Linked DNA regions of Rattus norvegicus. The protein of the gene in region 1 interacts with the protein of each later gene in a pairwise test. Links are inferred from orthologs where the notes say so. Each region holds a gene or a part of one and is shown on either strand. Other genes may lie near its edges. The genes, in order: Psmd5 and Psmc2.

The links.
Region 2: the proteins of Psmd5 (region 1) and Psmc2 interact in binary tests that used the Homo sapiens proteins (3 or more experiments, as listed by UniProt). The link is inferred for Rattus norvegicus from reciprocal best matches to the Homo sapiens genes PSMD5 and PSMC2.

Annotation. Positions count from the first base shown.
Region 1 is NC_086021.1:38,534,831-38,538,644, reverse strand, and holds part of Psmd5 (26S proteasome non-ATPase regulatory subunit 5), read left to right. Parts: intron 1-695; coding exon 696-887; intron 888-1,901; coding exon 1,902-2,011; intron 2,012-3,814. UniProt on the Homo sapiens protein: Acts as a chaperone during the assembly of the 26S proteasome, specifically of the base subcomplex of the PA700/19S regulatory complex (RC).
Region 2 is NC_086022.1:14,159,563-14,163,995, reverse strand, and holds the start of Psmc2 (26S proteasome regulatory subunit 7), read left to right. Parts: upstream 1-1,605; 5' UTR 1,606-1,681; coding exon 1,682-1,751; intron 1,752-4,433.

The DNA.
Region 1 (3,814 bases):
TTCTTTAAGAATTCGGTGAGAGCCAGGTGTAGTGGTGCATGCTGTTAATCCCAGCTCTTGGGAGGCAGAAGCAGGCAAATATCCGTGTTTGAGGACAGCCTGGTCTATAGAGTGATTCTGGGGCAGCCAGGGGCACAAGAGAAACCCCATCTCAAAAAATCAACAGCTGAGTGAGAAATATCAGAAGATTAGTACTGCCGTGCCCTGTATCCAGAGCCGTGCAGTCTGCGGTGAAGTGATGGGTTCCTCACACTCTCGGTGACCGAGGGCAATGCCCCGTGGGGTGGTCTATGGACTGTTACAGCGATTGCACCTGGTGAGCAGTTCTGCCAGTAATGTCTTCAGGCTTACCGCCCAACCACTGGTGTTCCCATGTTCTCCCTGTCTCCCTCCCTCCCTGTCTCTCCCCTCCATTTCCTTCTCTCCCTCCCTGGCTATAAAGCAGTGTATAAGCAGGCTGGCCTGAAGCAGATAGTCCTCTACGTCTCCCCCAAGGCCCATTGACACCTTGTGGTATTTTTGTTCTCAGAATCACAGGATGGGCCTTTGAGTCTCCTTGGCTTCCCTCTGTAGGCAGCTCAGTGCTTCTCTGTCTCCTCCTCCCGCCTGCATTTATTGATATTCCCCTGGAAACATGGAGCCCCCAATTTGTGTTTCTTACCCCTCTCTAAAGTGTATTTCTGTAAATATTTTAGGATTTGTGAAGTTTTTTGGAAACCTGGCTGTCATGGATAGTCCTCAGCAGATCTGTGAGCGCTACCCTGTCTTTCTGGAGAAAGTGTTTGCAATGGCAGACAGTCAAGACCCCACTATGATTGGTGTGGCTGTAGACACAGTTGGAATCCTGGGATCCAGTGTTGAAGGGAAACAAGTTTTACAGAAGACAGGTTGGTGTGCCTTGTCTCAGCTTTTGTATCTTTGGCCAGGATTCCATGTTCAGGTCCATCTGCTGGTGGGATAACTGTTGCAGAAACGACTTTTGTGGGGGACAGTCTTTACCCTCATCATGAACTTGTCTCCCAGTCTCATGATCACTTTTACTCCTCACTCTCTATTAGGTTTTCCCCCAACAAAAACTGAGTGGTCTGCTGCTACTGTCTTCCTTCACTGCATTTTATGGCATAGCTCATGTTGTGCCCCAGCTCCCACTGATGGAAGCTGTATGATTTCATTTACGTGCCTTCTCTGGGCCTCACATTCCTCACTTACCAACATGCACAATGGCAGCAAACGTAGTGGTATGCTTTAGGCCGATAGTTATAGTGCACGAAAATACATTGCTTTCGCTTCATACCCAGTACAACGGCCATTACCTTTTTTAAAGCATAGCAAGTGTTCAGATGTTGAAAAGCTCCTGCGTTTTCTTACCGGAATATGAAGTGGTACAATTGCTATAGAAAACAATATGGAAGTTCCACAGGAAAAGTAAACAGAGTTAGCATGTGAGCCAGCAGTTCCACCTGCAGATGTAAGCCATACAACATGGAAAGCGGTGGTTCCAGCAGTGTCTGTACTCCTGTGTACAGCAGAATTAGTCTGCTCAGAACAGTCAGAAACACCGTAACACGCGTGATGGATACATGAATTACATGTGATGGGATTTGACTTTGTGAAAGTGTGAGGCTATGAGTCAAGCCCCTGCACAGAGACAGTCTGAAGACATTTTGCTAAGACCAGCAAGCCGGGATGGGAGACAGATACTGCGAGATATCACAGACAAGGTTCTCTTACCAGAGAGCAGTGAAGGAGAAGGGAGGGCGCGGTTTGCTTACCGAGTCCCTCGGCTCAGTTTGGGTTGTTGGGCGCCCTGGAGATGGAACACGGCACTGAGCGAGATGGGCAGCACTGGCTATGGTAAGTGTTAAAATGGTAGGTGTTATGTGTCACATCGTTCTTCACAGGAACCCGCTTTGAACGCCTCCTCACGAGAATAGGTTATCAAGCAAAGAATGCTTCCACAGAGCTGAAAATTAGGTGTTTGGATGCAGTTTCCTCTCTTCTGTACCTATCAGTAAGTAGACGGGAAGGTTGCTGAAGGGCAGAGGGCTGTGCGGGAGGATGAGTCAGCACCGCACTGGTTAGTTTAAGCGAGTGTGCTGGGTGCTGTGCACGTTAGTTAGCCCAGCCCCCAGCGGGGAGGGTCTGAGCTCCAGGCCAGCCAGGGTGCAGAGAGAAACCCTGACTCAAAACTAACAGAACGGGGTTGGGGATTTAGCTCAGCGGTAGAGCACTTGCCTAGCAAGCGTAAGGCCCTGAGTTCGGTCCCCAGCTCCGAAAAAAAGAAAAACAAAAAAAAAAAAAAAGAAAAAAAAAAAAAAACTAACAGAACAAAGCAGGGCAGTGGTGATGCACACCTTTAATCCCACCATTCAGGAGGCAGAGTCAGGTGCTCTGAGTTCAATGCCAGCCCGGTCTATAGAGTGAGTTCAGGACAGTAAGAGCTGCACAGAGAAACCTTGTCTCAAAAACAAACAAAAACACCTTCGATATATGACTGAAAACTTCGTAATGGCATTTTCCAATTTATTCTTGAAGAGTTTCATACACATGCTTCCACTCCTCTCCAATGTCCTCTCCCTGTTCCTCCTTTGCCCCCTCCAACTTCATGTCTGTTTGCTGTCTTTTCTATTATCCTGTCTAATTAGTGCTGCCCATATGCACAGAGCATGAGGTCATGGCCACACATGCAAGACTGTCCCCTCCTCCCACCTTCCAGCCCTTACATTCTGCCCTCTCATCTGCAGTGTCCCCTGAGGCTTGAGGAGCCTTGACACAAATGTCTCCCTTGAGGCCGAGTGTTCAAGTCACTTACTCCCAACCACTCACTGCCCATTGCACAAAGAAGCATCTCTGAGCAAGGCTGAAAGCTGCACAAGCCTCAGTACAAACATGAGCAGATGAGCAGCTAGCAAGACAGCAATAGGACCCCACCCCCATGACCTGTGACCTCCTCAGCCATGGGCCATTTTATTTTACGTGTATGGGTGTTTACGTGGATATGTGTCTGTGCACCACTTGTGTGCAATGCCCAAAGAGGCCAGGAGAGGGCATTGGATCCCCTGGAACTGGAGTTACAACCTCCATGTGGGTGCTGGACACTGTCCAGCCCCCAGCTATGTATGGCCTTTTGTCAAGGCTCACAGCACCAAGCCTGAATTCTGTGCTTTGGAGCAGGCCTCAATCCAGTCAGAGCAGTGGCTATCCTCACAGCAGTCATTACACTCTGTGCCATTGCAGGTCAGAGAGGCAGCGTTCAGGTCCAGCACTAGGCAAGAACAATGATGTCTTTCCTCCCCTGAATCCTGCATAGAGCAGTTTATGGTACTATGGGAGCCTGTCAGCTAAGAAGTTTGCCAGTTAATTGATTTCTCTATGTCTTGCAGTCAAACTGTGGGCGTCTTCAGGAATATAGGGTTGCCATTTAGTCATGATGGACAGCCAAGGGCAATGGGTATAGCCTGCTTTAATGGGGGAGGTGCTCTCTGGGACCTCCCAACTGTAGGGAGTTGCTGAGATTTTCATTTAATCGCCCATTTCCTCTGGCAACAGCATTGCCCACTCATGCAGGAATCTGATTCCTCATCCATAACCCCTCCTCACTTCCTAGATGTTATTGTTGTGAATGAGGGGAGTGGTGCAGGAGAGGTGTGTATGTATAGGCACACTTAACCTAGGACACCTGCGGAGCTCGGAGGACAACCTCATAGAGTCAGTTTTCTCCTACTTTATATTAGACCTGGGGCTTGAACTCATGTTGTCAAGCTCACACAGCAAGCGCCTTTACTCACTGAGCCACTTCAACAGCTTGATTACT
Region 2 (4,433 bases), on another chromosome or scaffold:
AGCAGGCAGGGCCCTCTGCGTCCTCACTACCTGCTGGGCTGAGCCTCGCGCCTAGGCTTTACGCCCAGGAACCGGCGCATGGAGACGACCAGTAAGCACTTCCGGGATGGAGCTTTCGCGGCGCGGCCGCCAATCCCACCCCTACGGACTCGCGCCAATGCGCGCGGCCGCCTACTTCCTCTATGACTCTAAACCGGCTGGAATCCAAGGTACCCGAACGAACAGTTCCTAGACGCATCAGTTCCTGCGTGGAAAAGGATTGTTTTATTTTGCTTTTTGTTTTTGTTTTTGTTTTTTCGCACAAGGGCGAGACGTAGAAAATAACTTTAAAAACGAACTTAGTTCACAACGTCACTCAGGCCGGCCTCTAACTTGTGAAAATCATGTCTCAGTTTTCCAAGTTCTGAGGTTTCAGTCATAAACTACCACTGATCGCTAGGTACCTCATGTAACTGGAATCATATAACTATATATTATTGTATTATTATATTAGCTGTAATTAATTATATATTACATTATAACATTGTCTCTATGTGAGTGGTGTATTCACTAGTATAATGGTCACAGAATTTTTTAAGATCAAATAGTAATATATTCACATACCACATTTTTGTCTATCCATTCATATGCACTCGATCTATTCTTTATTTGGCCTATTGCTAATGCAGCTATGATCATGGCTGTACGAGTGTCTTTTTGAAATCCCACTTTCAACTATTCGGCATTAGATATTCGGAAATGGGATTACTAGTGTATATAGATTTTATTATAGTTGTTTTCAGTTTTCCACAACCAACAGTGTAAAAAGGATCTACTTTTTCCCCAACATCCCCTCAAACTTTGTTTTCTTTTTTAAAAATAATAGCGATCCATGGGTCGGGTGTGGTGGTACACGCCTTTGTCACAGCATTCCAGGGTGCGGATACCTGTACGTTCGAGGACAGCCTGATCTACACCACAAGTTGCTGGACAGCCAGGACCACATAGAGCCCCAGTCTTAAGAAGACAAAAAAAAAAAAAAAAAAAAAAAAAAAAAGTCATGCTAAAGAGAAAAAAGTGCTTTTGATTTGAACAGCCTTTCATACGTCCATTTATTGGGATGTGTCTATCTCCTTTACCTACCTTCCTTTCCCTTTATCTTTTAAATGCCCCCCCCCCCATCATAAAATCCAGGTTGTTTTCTTGTTAAATTGTAGTTCTTTGTATAACCTGGATGTGCACTCCCTAACCGAAATGCATCACCTTTATTCAGTTTGTACATCTAGCCAACAACTGTGTCTAAACTGCCAGGCATTTTACAAACACGGTTATTCAGTGCCTTCCCAATCTTGTGAGATAAAGAGGAAGTAGATATTTAGAGATTACATTACCCGGCTGTGTGTATTATTCATTAATGACTAAATCAGGATGTAAGTTCATCAACTGAGCCAGGGCTAGTCTTGGAAGTTCGTGTTCGGGTACCTAAAAAGACCAGACTTGTGAGGGAGCGGGGTAAATAAATGTCTCATAACAGGTAATAATCCTCCCTCCAGTCAGCAGTGCGTGGAGTCCCAAGGTGCAGGGTGAACCCGCGCCAGAGCGCTGAGCTACTTCCGGTGGGGAATTAAAAGGGAAGACACCAGCGGAAGTGGGGAACGTGCTGTGTAATCACTGAGACGCGGAGGGGCTTGCGGCTTCTAAAATGCCGGATTACCTAGGTGCAGACCAGCGGAAAACCAAAGAGGATGAGAAGGACGACAAGCCCATCCGAGGTGAGAGGACACGGGCTCGCCCTCCCAACCGGGAGGGACCGGCTCTGGCACCGGTCGGCCTTGGACCCAAGCGGTGACCGGTCTGGGCCGCAGCCCTGTCTGCTTCTTAACTGTTCCTTACTCACTTCTCCTGCTGGCTGACTTTTTATTTATTTATTTTATTCGAACAGTTTACCAGGCGTTGGAGTTCTGGGTCCAGTGTGGCCTTGCAGATCTTCAAAAAGTGGCCAGCCTGGTGGGCTTTGAGTTCTACCTCCCGGCCCTATCTCCTCCTTCCCAGTTGTAACAGCTTGGTGCTATCACTGTAGGGACTATCCTGAAAGACGATGGTTCAAAACTCGAGTCAGAGGAGATAAACTGTCTCATCCTGTCCCTAGATTCGAGCCAGTGCTGATTCCAGCCAAGAAAGAGTCATTTTACATTTTTCTAGATATTTTATTATATATGGAAGTATATATTAGACACACGCTCGCGCGTGTCTTAATCATAATGTATCTTGCAGTATATCAGCATCATGAATTTAGAGATTTTATGATAGCAGATGCTTATTGTCCTATATCGTGGCAGTACAATAACATTTAATTATTGATAGAGATTTAGAATGCTCCAGTTCACAAATGACCGTGTTTTATAACCTACCACATGGAGGTTCAGGCTAAATTCTAGTAGCAAGGATGTCATTTTGCCAAATTACTCCCCGTAGAGACTAGATTGTTGACATTTTTTTTTAACTCGGTGTATGAGATGTGGTCAACGTTTGGATGTAATCTCTGCCCCCACACATTTTTTAGTCTCATCTTCACGCGTTGTTTTAAACTTTTCTCACCTTAAAAACTATTTTGGGGTTGGGGATTTAGCTCAGTGGTAGAGCGCTTGCCTAGAAAGCACAAGGCCCTGGGTTCGGTCCCCAGCTCCGGAAAAAAAAAAAAAAGAACCAAAAAAAAAAACAAAACTATTTTTCAGTGTTGGCGATGCCTAGCTCTTCCCTTTCTTAACAACTTCAGCCCCTTCTAGCACCCACCGTTTATGCCTCATCCCCCAAAGAAAACATTTTTTTTTAAATTTTCATTGACTCTGCAATTAAAAGTGTTTTACACCATTGAGAGTTTCAGGTACTTAGGACCTATTAGAAAGATTCAAAAGTTTGTACCTCATCTGTTTATACTAACCTAACCCATGTCTTCCTCTGGATGTGATATTTTGTAAAAAAAGGATTAAGGTTATTTTGGAGTTCAAGTTTGACTGAAGTGTTGGATTTTATGTGTATCTTATGTGATCTTTACAGAAACATTGTGAAGGTAAAATTCCCTCCATGTTAGATGATGAAATTAAATGTTTTTCCTGAGGTGATCCGGCAGATATATGACCTTATTTAATTTAAGCCTGTCCCTGAGGTTGCTGCACTTTCAAGCCCCATATTCTATTGGCCCCTGTCTTGGTTCTGTGGCATCCTTTTGAATGGCACTGGGATCACTGACTTCAGGTGACTGTCATCCTAATCTGATGACTCTTAGACTCCATTTTCACTTATAAAGTAGCAAACTTTATACCTTATGCTTTCTCTTCTTAACTCTGGGAACTTCATTGTTTCCTGTCTCTTTCTGCTTATAGGCTATCCACATTGTTCAAACCAGTTCAAACGTGTTGGTCAATTTACTTTCAGCTTAAGCTTCCAGTTCCTGTGGCTCCTCCTGCTGATTATTGTGACTGTTGGCCCCACTTGGCCAGAGTAGTCTCAGTCAAGCCTTTTACCTCTTCTTTAAGCCCTCAGTTTAGCCCCTGTGCTAAACAGCTGATGGGTGACTTTTCTCTTTCCCCAAGTGTTCTCTTCTATGTTACCTTTCTCTCAGTTCTGCCTCAGAGGACTCTGCCAGTTTCTGTCAAATCTAATGTCATTTCTGTTCCTGGTCTTACCTCTCCTTTCTCCCCTGGGACTTAGTCACTGTTCCGTTTGTGTTTCTCTAGAATTTTCTCCTTTCGTTTCTCTAAATATACTAATATCTACTTTGTCTTAGGAGCATAATTTGAGAAAATCTATTCTCTTTTCAGTCTACAACCCATCTTCTTCATTGTCTCTTCTCCCTCCTGCCTTCTTCTCTTTTTTCTCCCCCTCCTCCCTCCCTGTCTTTCTTTCTCTCCTCTCCTTCCCTCTCGCTCTTCTTCTCCCGTTCTTTCCCTCTCCTTTCCTTTCCTTCTTTCTCCTTTCCTTCTTTCTCCTTTCCTTCTTTCTCCTTGCCTAAACAGCTGAAAGGACAAACTCAGTAGAAGGAGGACCTGGATGTAAATCTTGGTGTTGCTTCATACCAAATGGTCATGTAGTTACAAAGAAGTCACCTAAAGTTTTTTTCTCCAGCGTAGTTCGGAAGCAATGGTATATGTGGATGAAGTATATATCATTTGTCTAATCACTGCGACTCACACAGTGGCTTTGAGCAGATGGTGACTTCAGTTGTCTTGTGTCTTCTGCTTTACTAGGTAGCCTTACTAAGCTTCTCTAACCGAATTCTATTGCTTGTCTTCTTTGCTGTTTCACTTTCCTTCATTGTATCCTATAATGGTTTCTCTAGAATTCCCTTTCTGGTGATTCCCTCCATTCACGTCTGGAACTGTCTCCTCTCATGATTCTCAGCTAACCTCTCTCTCCCTCTCTAGTTTATAAAGGTTATGGAAGGTGGCAGGCAG